Arabidopsis thaliana: one gene and its partner. The protein of the gene in region 1 interacts with the protein of each later gene in a pairwise test. Each region holds a gene or a part of one and is shown on either strand. Other genes may lie near its edges.

Region 1 (7,529 bases):
TATACTAATGTAAAATTAAAATTGCTCATATTAAAAGGTATTTTTGTCCCTCAAAATTTACAGTAAAAAAGCCAAGTAACAATTTTTCAAAAAAATATAATTCTAAGCCCAATCATGGAGTTGCTGCATGTACATCAGAACATGGAGTCATGGACCATCTATGGGCTCAGTCCCAAACTTAGCCCATATGTTTCCTTTACAGTAATCTTATTCTTCTTATTCAACACATATTTCTTAATGATTCTATTTCCTTTGTTGTCACAAATGAAAGTAGTTAAGTTTGACTGATTACGAGATTTAGAAACAAGAAAAACCAGTTTTAATTTTCAAATCTTGTTGGCTCCAAAAGAATGTAATAAATGAGTTGTGTAATAAAAAAAAGACAGGAACAAATGTATGTAATGTCCTAATAATAGAGCTTATCTTTTGATTAATTAATCAAAAAAGTTTGGGCCTTTTAAGAATTTAAAAAACCTCCAAAAATTCGACGCAAATAGGCCTCTCCACCAAATCTCTCTCTCTTTCTCTCTGTCACACTCTTTATCACTCTCTGCTCTCACAGATCGGAGAATCTCCTCTGAGAGCTCTAATCTCTCAGCTTTCTTCACCGGCGTCTCCGGATCTAATAATCCTGTAAGGCCTGTAAGTAATCTCATTTTTATTTTCAAGATTTATTTGCGATTTCATCTCTTTTATGCTGAATTTGATTTTCGATGTAGCCTTGTTTTAGCTATCAGTATTACAATTAGTTATCACTGTGATATATATCTTCTCTGAAGTATTATGTTTGCGTTTTGAAGCTACTGCAGAAAAAAGATTGAATTTTTACAATTTGGGGTGACTCAATTTTGTTGACTAGAGTGTTTGGAGATATTTCTAACTAAATGGGAACAATGCACCGCAGGTATAATTTCCTTAACTGATAGATTGTAATACAAAAAAAAGAGTTTTTTTTCCAATATGAAGATTACTACTTAGTGGTTAGTTTTGCAGTGGTGCTCCTCGAAGAACGAATGAAAATGCAAAGGTTATTATTACTACTATTTTGGGGATAGTGTTTGGGACTTTTATTGGTATCACATTACCTTCACTTTCGTTTAAGGTATGAGTTTTGTTTTTCATAGGTCCTTTTATGTGTCCCTTTCATTTTTGCACCTGTTGAATTTTGTTTCGTATTCCTGCAGATTAACTTACCCTCGCGCCTTATATCATCTCTTGATGTAGCCATATCTGGTGACAAATCCCCTGAAGATTTCGGTTCAAGAAAGTTTCCTGAGGTATATAATAAACTTCTTGTTCGGTTCCCTTTCGTTAGCTTTTCGATTATGTTCTAGAATAGTGCCTCATTTCAGATGAAATGTATCGTTTCTGTATGTTTGATTGCAGATATATGTTCCAACTAACCCGCGTGGTGCAGAACTACTACCTCCAGGAATCGTTGTGGCGAAAACTGATTTTTACTTGCGTAGATTATGGGGAGAACCTAATGAAGTATTGACTTCTCATTCTATATTTACTTTCTCAATATATATGGTTTTATCTCTGAAGGCCATTAGAATAGTTAATGTCAAAACAATAACCTTTGCAGGATTTGAAGAAGAAGCCAAAATATCTTGTGACATTTACAGTTGGATTTGAGCAGAGGAACCATATTAATGGAGTTGTTAAGAAGGTTCTGCAATATCAGCATGTGTTTTAGCAAGTATTGTTTTATATATTCTTTGTGGATACACTCAGATTTTTTGTTTTCTTGTCATATCTTCAGTTTTCTGAAGATTTCCAAATTTTGCTCTTCCATTATGATGGCCGGACAACTGAATGGGACCAATTTGAGTGGTCGAAGAGCGCGATTCATATTAGTACAAGAAAGCAAACAAAATGGTTAGTCATCTGGTCATTTACCGGTTATTAAGTATGTTTGTCGAGTATGTTTTTATCGAAATTCTCTACTGGTTTTGGCAGGTGGTACGCGAAGAGGTTTTTGCATCCTGATGTTGTGTCAGCTTATGAGTACATATTTATATGGGATGAAGATCTTGGAGTGGAGCATTTCAATGCGGATAAGTAAGTTATTACTTGTCTGAAGTAGCAGAACAATCTTATATTTTACATTTTGTGATGGAATTCTATTAAAACTTCAGGTACATTGAGTTAGTTAAGAAGCATGGTTTAGAGATTTCTCAACCAGGCTTAGAGCCTAACAATGGACTCACATGGGAAATGACAAAGAGGAGAGGTGACCGGGAAGTCCATAAGTAAGATCTCCTTCTCTAACCATTCTTCTTTGCCTTTCTTTCAAATTTGGTTCTGAATTAAGAAATGTGTTGTTACTTACTGTTGAACAGAGATACAAAAGAGAAACCAGGATGGTGTAAAGACCCACATTTACCTCCATGTGCCGCGTAAGTCTCTCTTTGAAACGTTCTCTTTAGAGCAACTCAAGAGTGTTTAGTCATTGTCAGTACTGAGTTTTCTGAAAAAAATTCCCTCTCACAGGTTTGTTGAAATAATGGCGCCTGTATTTTCTCGAGAAGCATGGCGATGTGTGTGGCATATGATTCAGGTTCGTCGATCTGTAGATACATAGTCCTAGTCTTAGTCCATCAAAATAATGCTTGTTGTTTTGATCAGTTTGTTTATGTTTCTGATGCAGAATGATCTGGTTCATGGATGGGGTCTCGACTTTGCGCTTAGAAGATGCGTTGAAGTAAGTTGTTTTTGCCCCCCCCTTGCTTACCTTAATAACACAATATTCTCTTGACTGATGATGAAAATTTGTGTGTTTTGCTTTTGCAGCCTGCTCATGAGAAGATTGGTGTTGTGGATTCGCAATGGATAATACATAAAGTGATACCTTCACTTGGAAGTCAAGGAAAGTCAGAGAATGGGAAAGCTCCATGGCAAGGAGTGAGAGATAGATGCAAAATGGAATGGACAATGTTTCAGAACCGATTGGCTGATGCTGATAAAGAGTATCTTGGGAAGATGGTGAAAGATTAGATTTGTTTTTCTTTTTTCTTTCTATATAATTAATATATTAAAAAAACTTTTACTTTTGTATATCAAATATTTTACACTAAATTAGGTTTTCATAGGACATGTGTGAAGCCCTTTTTATTGATATTGTGTAAGATTTATACATTTTGATTGAGCTTTATTATGTTGTTTGTTACTTTCTCCATTTCAAATTCTTAGATGTTTTTAAAAAGAAATTGCTTTCACTAAACAAGAGAGAAGTGAAACATGTAAAAAAAAAAAACTTTAGAAAACAAAGGTGTAATAGAAGTGGTTGTTATTACATAATCTTTTTGACTTCTGAAAAGACAATAAGAAAACAAGACTTATAACCAGTTTCATGATTTATCTATTTCACCCAATTTCATAAATTGGCTATTTTATATTTGCTCTCAATAGGTAACGTAAATGGTAGAGAAATTAAGGAGAAGAGAAGGGTATTGGTATGGACTTTGGAGTGAGTGTGAAGCTTTACACCAAATCCAAATAATTTCAATTTTCATTTTAGTTTCTATTTTACAATATTTTGCCCAATAGAAAAAGTATGAGAAATTCAGTTTCACCTTCCTTTTTGCTTTTAGTTCAAGTCAATTGTTTGTCCATAGAAAACCATACAATGTCTCCCTCCATTGGCTGTTTCATTTCAGAGTCTTTTTTATGGTTAAGAATTTGCTATCATATCATTAGTAGAAGTCTCTTATGAGGAAAAACAAATATTAAGCAACATCATTATAGTTTTTCTCATGTATCTTGTGCGTAATTATGTAAATGTCATAATTATTAAAACATGAAATTAGGAAGAACAGAAGTTTGGTGTTAGACACCAACCATTTTTATACAAACAAATAATAAAAATCTCATTATATCACCTTTGCATTTCATCACTCATCACATTCACAATCCTTCTCTTTTTCTCACATCAATATATATCTCTCTTTCTCTCTCTTCATTTGATAGATTTGAAGATTTGAGAGGAGAGAGAGGAAGAAAAAATGGGAGAGATGAAGAGTATGCAAATGGGTGTGATTGGAGCATTGTTTCTATCAGTTGCATCTTCTGTCTCCATTGTCATTTGCAACAAAGCTTTGATGACCAATCTTGGTTTCCCTTTTGGTAATTACTAGTACTTTTTTTTTTTGCTTTGTGAGAATATATTTTGTAAGATCTTTATCAAAAACCCGATTATTCGTCTTAGGATTGATCGCTTTTTTGCTATGGTTTTGTTACAGCAACAACACTTACTAGTTGGCATTTGATGGTAACATATTGCACACTTCATGTGGCATATAAACTAAACTTCTTTGAGAATAAACCAATAGACATGAGAACTGTTGTTCTCTTTGGCCTCCTCAATGGCATTTCCATTGGTCTCCTCAATCTCAGCCTCGGCTTTAATTCCATCGGCTTCTATCAAGTATATATCTTCGACATACTTTTGATCATGTAACAATTATATGATTCACCAATTTGATGTTTGTCCATAACTAATGGCAGATGACCAAACTTGCTATCATACCATTCACTGTTCTTTTAGAAACCCTCTTCCTCAACAAGAAGTTCAGGTGAACCAAACTTGATACATAAGATTATTTTAATTTTTATTGTTTACATAAATAACTTTTTTTTGAATGACATATTTTGGTTTTGCAGCCAGAAGATAAAATTCTCATTGTTTTTGCTGCTAGTTGGGGTTGGTATAGCATCAATCACAGATCTTCAGCTCAATTTTGTTGGCTCTGTTCTATCTCTCCTTGCCATTGCCACAACTTGCGTCGGCCAAATTGTATGCTTTAAGTTTCATTAAACTAATGTTTAATAACTAATACATAGTATAATTAATATGACTATGAAAATGTTGTGGTGAAGCTAACAAACACTATCCAGAAGAGACTGAACGTGACATCAACACAACTCCTATACCAATCAGCCCCGTTCCAAGCTGCTATACTCTTCGTCTCGGGTCCTTTTGTCGACAAATACCTCACTAGCCTCAATGTTTTCTCCTTCCATTACTCTCCCATCGTCGTGGTAATTTTTTACATCGTTAATTCCATTTATTCCCAATTGGTGTTAAAATAGAATTAGAATCATTGTCCTGGATCGGTCCAGCCCATTTTCGCATGGCCCCTTAGAGCCGTGCCCATGTTGAGCCATGATTGTATCATAACGTCCCTAGATAGATACTAAAATTTTGTGAAATTTGACAATGATGAATCATGCAGGGGTTCATAACGTTGTCGTGTTTGATAGCGGTTTCGGTTAACTTCAGTACGTTTTTAGTGATTGGAAAGACATCTCCGGTGACATACCAAGTCTTGGGACATCTCAAAACGTGTTTGGTGCTCGCATTTGGTTACACTCTCCTTCACGATCCCTTCACTCCTCGTAATATCGCAGGAATACTCATCGCTGTCCTCGGGATGCTTCTCTACTCCTACTTCTGCTCAGTTGCTTCTAAATCCAAACAAGCCTCCTCCGATTCCACTTTTCTTGTACGTTAACCACACAAAAAGAAAAGATAGAAATAATGAGTGTTGAAAGTTTCTAAGTACTTTGGTTTTATTCCTTTTTTGACAGGGGAAAGATAGAGATACGACGCCGCTTTTGGGACAAGAAAATGAGAACCATCATGAAGCCAAGAAATTAGACAAGCATTCTCCAGTATGAAATAGTACAATAACTCTTTCTTTATGTTTCGACTCTATAATTGTGTCCCTTTTTTTTGTTCATTCATTGATAATGTTTTTGTAATTGAGAAAAAATTGAAATAGCCAATGGGCATTTTCTCTTCTTTTTTATATTTACATTTCCTATTTCATTTCCTCCTTTTTGGATCTTACAAGGATTATAAAATTATTTTCTCTCGTACGTGTTCTTTGGTTTATGTTAGTGTTCTTCAAATGATCAAATGATTGTTTTCTATTAAGAAGATAAAATAAAATAGTATAGTACTAAATAGTGTTTAAAATACAATTAGTTTCAAAACGGTTTTGGACTTTTCGGTGATTAAAATGTGATAAATTATGAAGTTTTTGAGTTTATGGAAGAAAAATGATGGGCGATTTGACATATGCATATAATTATTATCGGTTTTTAGGATAACAGGAACCAGAAATTTCTAATAATTGAAATGCTTTATGCTCTTATTTTTCCTTTCCATATAAAAAATTTAAATGCAATTTATAACATATATACATATAGATATGTATATTGTTAAATATTACATGTGCGTTACGTCTAACGTTTACGAGAATTCATCCTCTGTTCACATGCTACGTTGTCGTTGTTGTTTTATCTTTCCATGAATAGTATATGTATAACATTTTTATGTTATGGTCTTATGGACCTACAAAGAGAATTGGCAATGAAACTTTCCCTTAAAAGCGAATAATTTTTTTAATTAAAAACTAGTGGTTGTGAGACTTGCAAGTTACGAATGACAAAAAAAAAAAAATAATAATAATAAATGAGAAATGGTCTTCAATCTTCATCAATAGGCCAACTTGTTTGCAACAACCAACAATCCAACTAAAAATCATTTTAAACAAATTATATGATGATGACTTATTCCTACAAATTACTACAGTTTTGGCCTTTTGTCCAACGATGTTGTGATACGTTTCTACATATTTCTCAATCGATCAACGCTAATGCTTATTTTTCAAGATTACTATTTTGTCTCCATGTGTTTTCAGAGACTATGCCTTGTCTTTGTTGGTTGGTTTCACTTTCTTTAGCCATTTTTTTTTTTAAGTCTCCACTCATATTGAATTAGTTAATTTAGGAGTTGGCAAAATAAAGTAAAACTATGGCTTGCATTTTAGTATAAGTAGTTTCTGTATGTGAATGTGATTAAGCTCCCAAGAGTTTTGTCTTACCTCTTGTTGTGATATGTTTATTTTGATTTTCTACCCAATAACATATCTTGTAAAGCGTTTATAACAAAGTAGTGTTTGATGGGTACAAACCACCCAGATGAGCTATATGACTTTTCATTTGTTTGTTTTTGAGCCACTGAGTGACATATAATCTAAAATTGTGCCACTTTCCCATTAAAACCATATGTTTTCAAGCATAATATCTTAATATCAGTATTTTAAAATTAAAAGCAAGATACTATTTTATCCACTTTGGAGAAGATAGATATTTGGAAAATTTGATAAGAATACTAATAAGAGTCTGATGCAATTTGCACATTAACCATTGATAAATAAGACACAACAAGCTCACTTCCGAGAAAAGAGTACAAAAATTAATATTACTCTAGTATAGTTACTTTAATACTTCAATGTTGTATATGATCAATGTACCACGCTAAATCTATTAAATATGTGATTTATACAAAAATTTACATGTGAACTATTTTTTAAAAAACTTTATCTACCCAGAGATTAGTTTTGAACTCCTCCACAGGTGGTGAGGATTTATCTTCAATTAACAGGAAAAAAAAAGTTTATCATCATTCACTCTAATAAATTTATTTCTCCAGTTTTCCATCTTCATTTTTTGAAAGT
Region 2 (7,545 bases), on another chromosome or scaffold:
ATAAAGAAGAACTCAGAGAAGAAGTTCCAAAAAAAGGGGAACCAGCAGCAACACTAATTTTCTGTTGTTTTTCCCAATTGTTGGTAGTATGGGTAACGTTGTGCGCCGTGAAGTTTTCGTGTTCCTATTTCCTATCGAAATCTATAACAACTAATCATGTGCCGTATAGTACAATAGCTTTTATGAATTTTACGGTGTTTGATATAAATACTCATCTTAGTGCAAAATGGAACTTATCCATTAGAGTTCCCGAAAACCTTCCTGGTTCCTATATATGTCTACAAGGAGACTTTCAAGCTTCTTTACTTTACAAGAATATTACCATTGCTACTTCACCCCCAAGAAGGTTCAAATATCTATTTTAATTATTTAACTTTCTTCATATATATTATATTATTATAACGAAAAATCTATTTTTTTTTGCTTGATCAGTTACAACAATCTTCTGTTTCATTGGCCTCAACTGCTCAAGGTTTCAGGGGATGTCTCTGAAGAGGATATCAATGGCGCGATTGGAAAAAACATTGTGAACGACATTAAAGAGAGAAGCGAAGTGCGCTTGGGGTTGCGGTTGTTTCTTCCGGATTGCAGAGAAAATAAGGCAGGGACCATGAAATTTGCTTGTGATGAGGTCAAAATGAAATTTGAGTCGAGTTATGAACAGAAGATTACATCAACTGTGGTTGGCTATCCTAATTGCCTCTATGATGATCACTAGTTTCTTGTTTAACTTTATATGAAGATTGGACCTTCTTTATGTGTAATATACTTTGGATAACGCATACCATCAGATATAAAACATCTCGTAGAGTTTACCAAACTGTGTTTGATATAGATTTTGTGTGGATTTCTCCCTTGACTAACAATCTTATAATTTTTTCAATCTTTATTTGCTAATTGACGATAATTTATTAATTTGATTTATTTTGTTCTTCTACATTTCGATTTAAATATTATAACGCTAGTGCTACTGTGCTATATATGGATTAACAAGCTCTTAGAGCATTTACATTGGTGGGCTCTTGATATAATTTTTAGAGATATTAAAATTTAAATTTAATATTTAATTGGTAAAATAGTTAAGATTTGACTCTTATATAAGAGACAAAATACACTTTTAAAAAATTTTTTTTTATTAAAACTCTTAATTTCAAAATAAATTATAAAATTATTGTTAAAAATATTTGCTAAAAGCTCACCAATGTGGTTGCTCTTAGGTTACCGACTAGGATATTGGTTCTCTCGACCAAGTATCTTGATTTTTGTGTGTGGTTTCATGCTCTCCAGTCTCCAATAAGATAATGACTAAATATACAACTTTTTCTTAAAACATAATTAATAAGAAAGAAAGAGTAACGAAAAATAGAAATTAACCTCATACATAATAATTGTGATATACGTATACCCTAGTCATGTCTCGAAAGCTCGTTATTGTAAAAAAAGTAGAAACACTCTCTTTAGACCAGAGTCTTTAGAAGATAAGATACTTTTTTAACGTGAAACCAAAACCCTTCTTTCCATAAACTCGTCTCAAATTTTTTGGTTTATTAGGTTTTGGAAATATCTGAGAGTGCTCTGCTCGTACGTTGATTGTGAACTTGATCTCAACTTAATTTGCTTTCTATGAATGCGATTTCGTGTTAACTGGTCTAGAAATTTCTACGACTCATGTTGCAGAACGCGGTTTAATTTTGATTTGTTTTCTTAGACCTTAGCTAATAAATACCGTGTCTTTGTCTCTTTGTTCTGTTGATCAATTTAGGGACCAATGGAAGATTTGATAAGCCAATTGCCCAATGAGTTGCTGCAAGAGATACTCTTGAATCTTCCCACGAGTGAGTCTGTTAGGACAAGTGTCTTACCGACAAGATGGAGAAATCTCTGGCAAAGTGTTCCTGGTTTGTACCTAATTTCTCGACAGATTCTTAAATTTGTAAACTTGCGGTTAGAATATGTAATTCTGGATGATTTTGATAGTTGTGAGTCTTTCTATCTACCTCACCTTGAGGTTATGCATTTAGGGTTTCGCAGTACACCGAGTGATGTGGTTCTAGAGATGCTTATCTCGTGCTCTCCTGTTCTTCAAGTCTTGAGCATTTGTGATGTTGGAGTTGACTTTTTGAAAGTGCGATCTCAGACGTTAAGGAGCTTGAGTCTATGGACATTTATCTTTAAGGGAGAAAATGATGATGTCTCCTTGGGTGATGATGGAGAATCTGGACTTGTGATTGACACTCCTAGCTTAGAGTTTCTGCGTATCAGAGATTTTCCATTGGAAGACTTCAGAGTGGAAAGTGTTATTTCTTCTATCAAGATGTGTATCGATGTACGGTTTTATGGGGAGATGACTTTTCAAACACGCAAACTTTGCACAAGTTTTTTGCTGAGTTCTCGGAGGTCACAGATCTTAGCATCTCTGGCCATACTCTAGATGCATGTATTTGTTCTTACCAAGTGTTGGTTCTTGACAGGGAACCTATGCTTACACAAAACTGCAACAACTGCCTGAATTCAAGAACTTGACCCGTTTGTACGCTTTTCTCCATACCGACTATTCAGAGATGTTGCCTATATATCTCTCCAGCAGTCCCAACCTAAAATCTATTGACTTGGTAATGATTCCTTCTCTTGGTATTGAGAGTAGCGAGTGACTATATATATTATACATGTCTTATGGTGTTTTCCTTTGTAGGAGCTTCATGGTTATCCAAAGATGGAGGAAATTGCAAGCTCACCAGTGCCAAAATGTCTCCAAACATCCATTGAGAATGTCAAAATAAAAATGACGCCCAAGGCTGACCAAGAGAAAAGCCGAAAAGCTGAAACCGAGGTTGCTAACTACATCTTAGAGAATGCAACACTTCTGAAGCTCACTCTATGGTTAGATGATGAAGAAGAAGACGAGTCTAGCAGCGTCCTTGAGAAAATTCTCACCTTTCAAAATTACTCTTTTGTAGAGGTGAAGATAGGTCGAGAAGCATCGAAATTTCGCCTAGGTTATACATTTGATGAAGCTAAGCACTTTAGTCGTCGTTTTCTTTAAATCTCTTATGATCAATCTAATTAGCCCTTTTGGTCGTGGTCAGGATTTAAAGAAAGTTGTTTCTATCACTTGAAAATTCTCCACTAACTTGATGAGAATATGTGTGATGGAATCGATCTAGCGAACATATACTAATCAAAAGGACATGCCTAAAATGGGACCCTCTTTGCACAAAAGAAGTTTCAAGATATTATTATACCCACAAAACCAAATCTTCTTTAATCATGTCTAAATCATTTTAGGCACTCTTAACAAAACAATAATGTTATCATCCAATTTGTCTACACTTTGGTATTGATTCGTTACAAGTGAATGTTCTAGACCACGTTTGTTGATCTATTATGTAGTTTTGTATTCATCCTAGCTACATTTATATATATCCACTTATTTCTTAACTACGGTATGCATTATACATGTTTGTATTAATGTCGCCGATAAAAGTTTCGGACCCATAGTGATGAATAATCATTCTCGATTATTATTGTTAAATAAAACACTACAAGGAATAAGATAGATCAAAAACGAAAGCTCCTTTGAAAACAATCTCAAAGAACAAGAAAATATGAGAAGACTCTTTCTCTTCTCTCTCCTCTTTTTATTCTTTTACTCATCCTCCTCCTCAAGATCTTCATCAGAATCTCACATCTTCATCTACGGAGGATGTTCACCGGAAAAATACACACCAAACACACCTTTTGAGTCAAACCGCGACACTTTCCTCTCCTCTGTCGTCACTTCCTCCTCTGACGCGTCCTTCAACAGCTTTGCCGTCGGCAACGACTCCTCCTCCTCCTCATCCTCTTCCGCCGTCTTCGGCCTCTATCAATGCCGTGACGATCTCCGATCATCAGACTGCTCAAAATGCATCCAAACCTCAGTCGATCAAATCACTCTCATTTGTCCTTACTCTTACGGCGCTTCTCTCCAGCTCGAAGGCTGCTTCTTACGTTACGAAACAAACGATTTTCTAGGGAAACCAGACACAAGTCTTAGGTACAAGAAGTGTAGTTCCAAGAGCGTTGAGAATGACTACGATTTCTTTAAGCGGAGAGACGATGTGTTGTCGGATCTTGAGTCGACTCAACTCGGTTACAAAGTTAGCCGGTCCGGTTTAGTCGAAGGTTATGCTCAGTGTGTTGGTGACTTGAGTCCTAGTGACTGTACGGCTTGTCTTGCCGAGTCTGTCGGAAAATTAAAGAATCTTTGTGGCTCGGCGGTTGCAGCTGAGGTTTACTTGGCTCAGTGCTATGCTCGTTATTGGGGCTCTGGTTACTATGACTTCTCTTCAGGTCAGTCCATAAATTAAAATCTTTATTTCATTTATTAGCTATTGCTCTAATTTACGTAAGTTCTTTAATTATATTCGTGAATCATGCTTAGTGCCATGATAATATAATTGAAAATTGTAGTAATGAACTGTATAGAAATGTGTGAGAATTTGACAAAATTTAAATTTCCGCCGCTTATAATTGAGAAAATCACAAGTCTAGTCGCTCCTTGGTAGCACGAGAAAGTTGAAGAAATCATAAAATTTTCGTTGCTTTTTTTTTTTTGTAATTTCCACTGGAAAGACACCATTAAGTATTGAATAAAATAGAATTAATCTTTTGAATCATTCGTTGGAAAATTCGAGTATCATGATTATAATATCATTGGTCAGAAAAGAATGTTTTTGCAATATATTATTCTTTTCTTTATAGGCATAGCCACCCATGTCCCCATTTTCAACTTTATTTTATATATTCTTTATAGCTTGATCAATATCACATAGTCCAAAAGTCATTGCATCTTAGAAAATCTAATTCTTAGCTTGATACTATATTGTCCTTATCTTATGTACTTTAATTTGTCACATACAATATTAAGATCTTTTTAAATTTGATCTAATTTTCGTTATTAAGATCCAACGAATGGAGATCACGTGGGGAAATCAATCGCGATCATCGTAGGAGTCATTGCTGGATTCGCAATTCTTGTTGTTCTCCTCTCCCTTTGTAGAAACTCCATGCGTAAGTCTATACTTACTTGCCTAATCTTCACATGATTAAGATTTAAGATCAAATCACTCATTTTTAGTATATATTTAGAAATAAGTATCATGATCTCATAATTTTTCTTATCTGATTTGCAGATTGATATAATGAAAGGCATGATTCGGGATACAAGATTCTAGGGACCTGTTTTTTTTTTTTTGAACTCTCTTGTATTCCACTATTCCTTTTATTTTGTAGGAGGAACACATCCGTTACCGTTCCTTGCTGAAATTTTTGGTTTATCAAAAGGAAAACTATTAGTGACTGATGATATAATGATTTTTAGCTTTGAGGTATTAAATATTTGTATAGTGTGACCCGTATTGTCTGCCTTAAAAAGATGCTAACTTTATTCCATTAACTAGTTTTAGACTAAAATCCACTTTCCTTAGCAGGCGCAATTATTCGATACTCATACTTAGATAAGTAGATTATCATTTCCGGAGAACAACGTGATTCGATCGATTGAGTATCATTAAACTTTAAAAGGTTCTGCCGGCAAAAAAAAAAAAGAAGAAGGCTTATAAGACTTGAGAGGTTCCATTCAATCAATTCTTTGGTTTTCTACGATCCGGATCTACCCGGTTCTCATGGGTTTCACCACATATTCCATTGAGCCATTAAATTATTATGGACTGGGCCTCGGCCTACTAAGCTTCTAAGCCGTGTAACATATCTAAAAGACTAAAACATTTTCCATGCAACCATTCCTTTTTTTTTGTATTTTTTTAAAAATTAATTCAAGAAATTCTTTTACCAAAAACATATAAACCCATGACAAAAATAGTAATTTTCACTAATGTTACAACATATTACTCCAACAAAATTATTACTTTATATATTATTCTATTAAAATATAACTGATCATTCATGGATTTTGTTTTCTTTTCTTTTTGACTCCAAATCCTGAAAATTTCTTTTATTTATATATATATATATATATATATATATATATATATATATATCTTATCCATCGTAAATTCGTAATAATGGGATTATGATTATATATCACTATACCAGTATATAAAAATTTAGGTTTAATCCAGTATATATAGTAGTCTCTCAGCTCTTGAAGATAATAAACTTATGATGAAGAAGAACAACTTAAGGTTGTGTTCTTGACACATAGACGTATACGTTTACTCACTTTGATACAGAGCGTTGCACTAATTTACAACCTGAAATGTATAACGTAATTAATGAAGTTAGTCTCATATGCATGGGCCATCAATAATCATATAAACAAAAGCTTACACATACTCTCACACGTGCCTTATCTCTCTCTCCATCTGTTAGATTCCTCGCCACCATCTTCATCTACATTTCTACGACAAGTTCCATTCTTCGTTTGCTGTTAAATACACAACAACATCAATAATTATTTACTTAAAACGCATTTCAAGAAAATTACTAAACACTACAACAATCTTATAATAACATTTACTAAAAATGTCCACGTTTGTAAAAGTCACCGACTTAATCACTATCATGTTCTTTCTAGCCATTGCTGCCGTCATAACCGCCTCAAACACAGCCGAGTTGGATGTACTTGAAATGGCTAGAACTGCTGTGGTTGAAGCCAAGACTAGTTTTGGGTCAATGGCTGTGACTGAGGCAACTAGTGAAGTTGCTGGTAGTTATTATAAATTGGGGTTAAGTGAATGCGAGAAGCTCTACGATGAGAGTGAAGCTAGGCTATCGAAACTGGTCGTAGATCATGAGAATTTCACCGTTGAAGATGTTAGAACGTGGCTAAGTGGCGTGCTTGCGAATCATCACACTTGTTTAGACGGTTTAATTCAGCAACGTCAAGGTCATAAGCCTTTGGTCCATAGCAACGTCACGTTCGTGCTCCATGAAGCTTTGGCTTTCTACAAAAAGTCTAGAGGTCATATGAAAAAGAGTAAGAAAACTTACACATACATTCATGTATACATAATTAAATAAAATGATACAATAAATCGCTCTGTTTTATCACTAAATAACGATTGTAGACTCCAAGATAAGTGTAAATTTTTGTTTGAGATATCATGGTTTATCTATTATGGATCTCTAATAACATTTGGTAGGGCTGCATGGACCAGCGAGACAGGGCCATGGACCAACGAGACCAAAACATAGACCAACGAGACCAAATCATGGACCAGGAAGATCACACCATGGACCATCAAGACCAAACCAAAACGGTGGAATGTTAGTGTCATGGAATCCAACAAGTTCAAGGGCAGATTTCGTGGTGGCTCGGGACGGTTCGGCGACTCATCGGACGATAAACCAAGCATTAGCCGCCGTTTCAAGAATGGGTAAAAGTCGGTTGAATAGAGTGATAATATACATAAAAGCTGGTGTTTATAACGAAAAAATCGAAATAGATAGACACATGAAAAACATCATGCTAGTTGGTGATGGTATGGACCGTACAATTGTCACCAATAACCGAAACGTCCCGGACGGTTCCACGACTTATGG

What was found. Proteins that work in one complex are often made in the same cells at the same time.
Region 2: the proteins of AT2G28315 (region 1) and PDLP8 interact in a protein complementation assay, tested with the Arabidopsis thaliana proteins (one large-scale study listed by BioGRID).

The regions. Positions count from the first base shown.
Region 1 is NC_003071.7:12,084,889-12,092,417, forward strand, and holds AT2G28315 (Nucleotide/sugar transporter family protein), read left to right. Parts: upstream 1-3,778; 5' UTR 3,779-4,007; coding exon 4,008-4,128; intron 4,129-4,244; coding exon 4,245-4,429; intron 4,430-4,509; coding exon 4,510-4,577; intron 4,578-4,665; coding exon 4,666-4,798; intron 4,799-4,881; coding exon 4,882-5,043; intron 5,044-5,237; coding exon 5,238-5,507; coding exon of another isoform or gene 5,508-5,516; exon of another isoform or gene 5,517-5,592; coding exon 5,593-5,682; 3' UTR 5,683-5,877; downstream 5,878-7,529. Other genes in the region: AT2G28310 (trimethylguanosine synthase (DUF707)), read left to right, coding at 885-904, 994-1,102, 1,185-1,277, 1,387-1,491, 1,589-1,672, 1,766-1,881, 1,963-2,064, 2,142-2,255 and 4 more. UniProt on the Arabidopsis thaliana protein: Nucleotide-sugar transporter that transports UDP-xylose and UMP in a strict counter-exchange mode.
Region 2 is NC_003074.8:22,438,430-22,445,974, forward strand, and holds PDLP8 (plasmodesmata-located protein 8), read left to right. Parts: upstream 1-3,341; 5' UTR 3,342-3,605; coding exon 3,606-4,332; coding exon of another isoform or gene 4,333-4,349; exon of another isoform or gene 4,350-4,944; coding exon 4,945-5,087; 3' UTR 5,088-5,174; coding exon of another isoform or gene 5,175-5,179; 3' UTR 5,180-5,445; downstream 5,446-7,545. Other genes in the region: AT3G60700 (hypothetical protein (DUF1163)), read left to right, coding at 1-346, 433-718; AT3G60710 (F-box family protein), read left to right, coding at 1,769-1,944, 2,032-2,326, 2,472-2,612, 2,693-3,043; AT3G60730 (Plant invertase/pectin methylesterase inhibitor superfamily), read left to right, coding at 6,526-6,979, 7,146-7,545. UniProt on the Arabidopsis thaliana protein: Modulates cell-to-cell trafficking.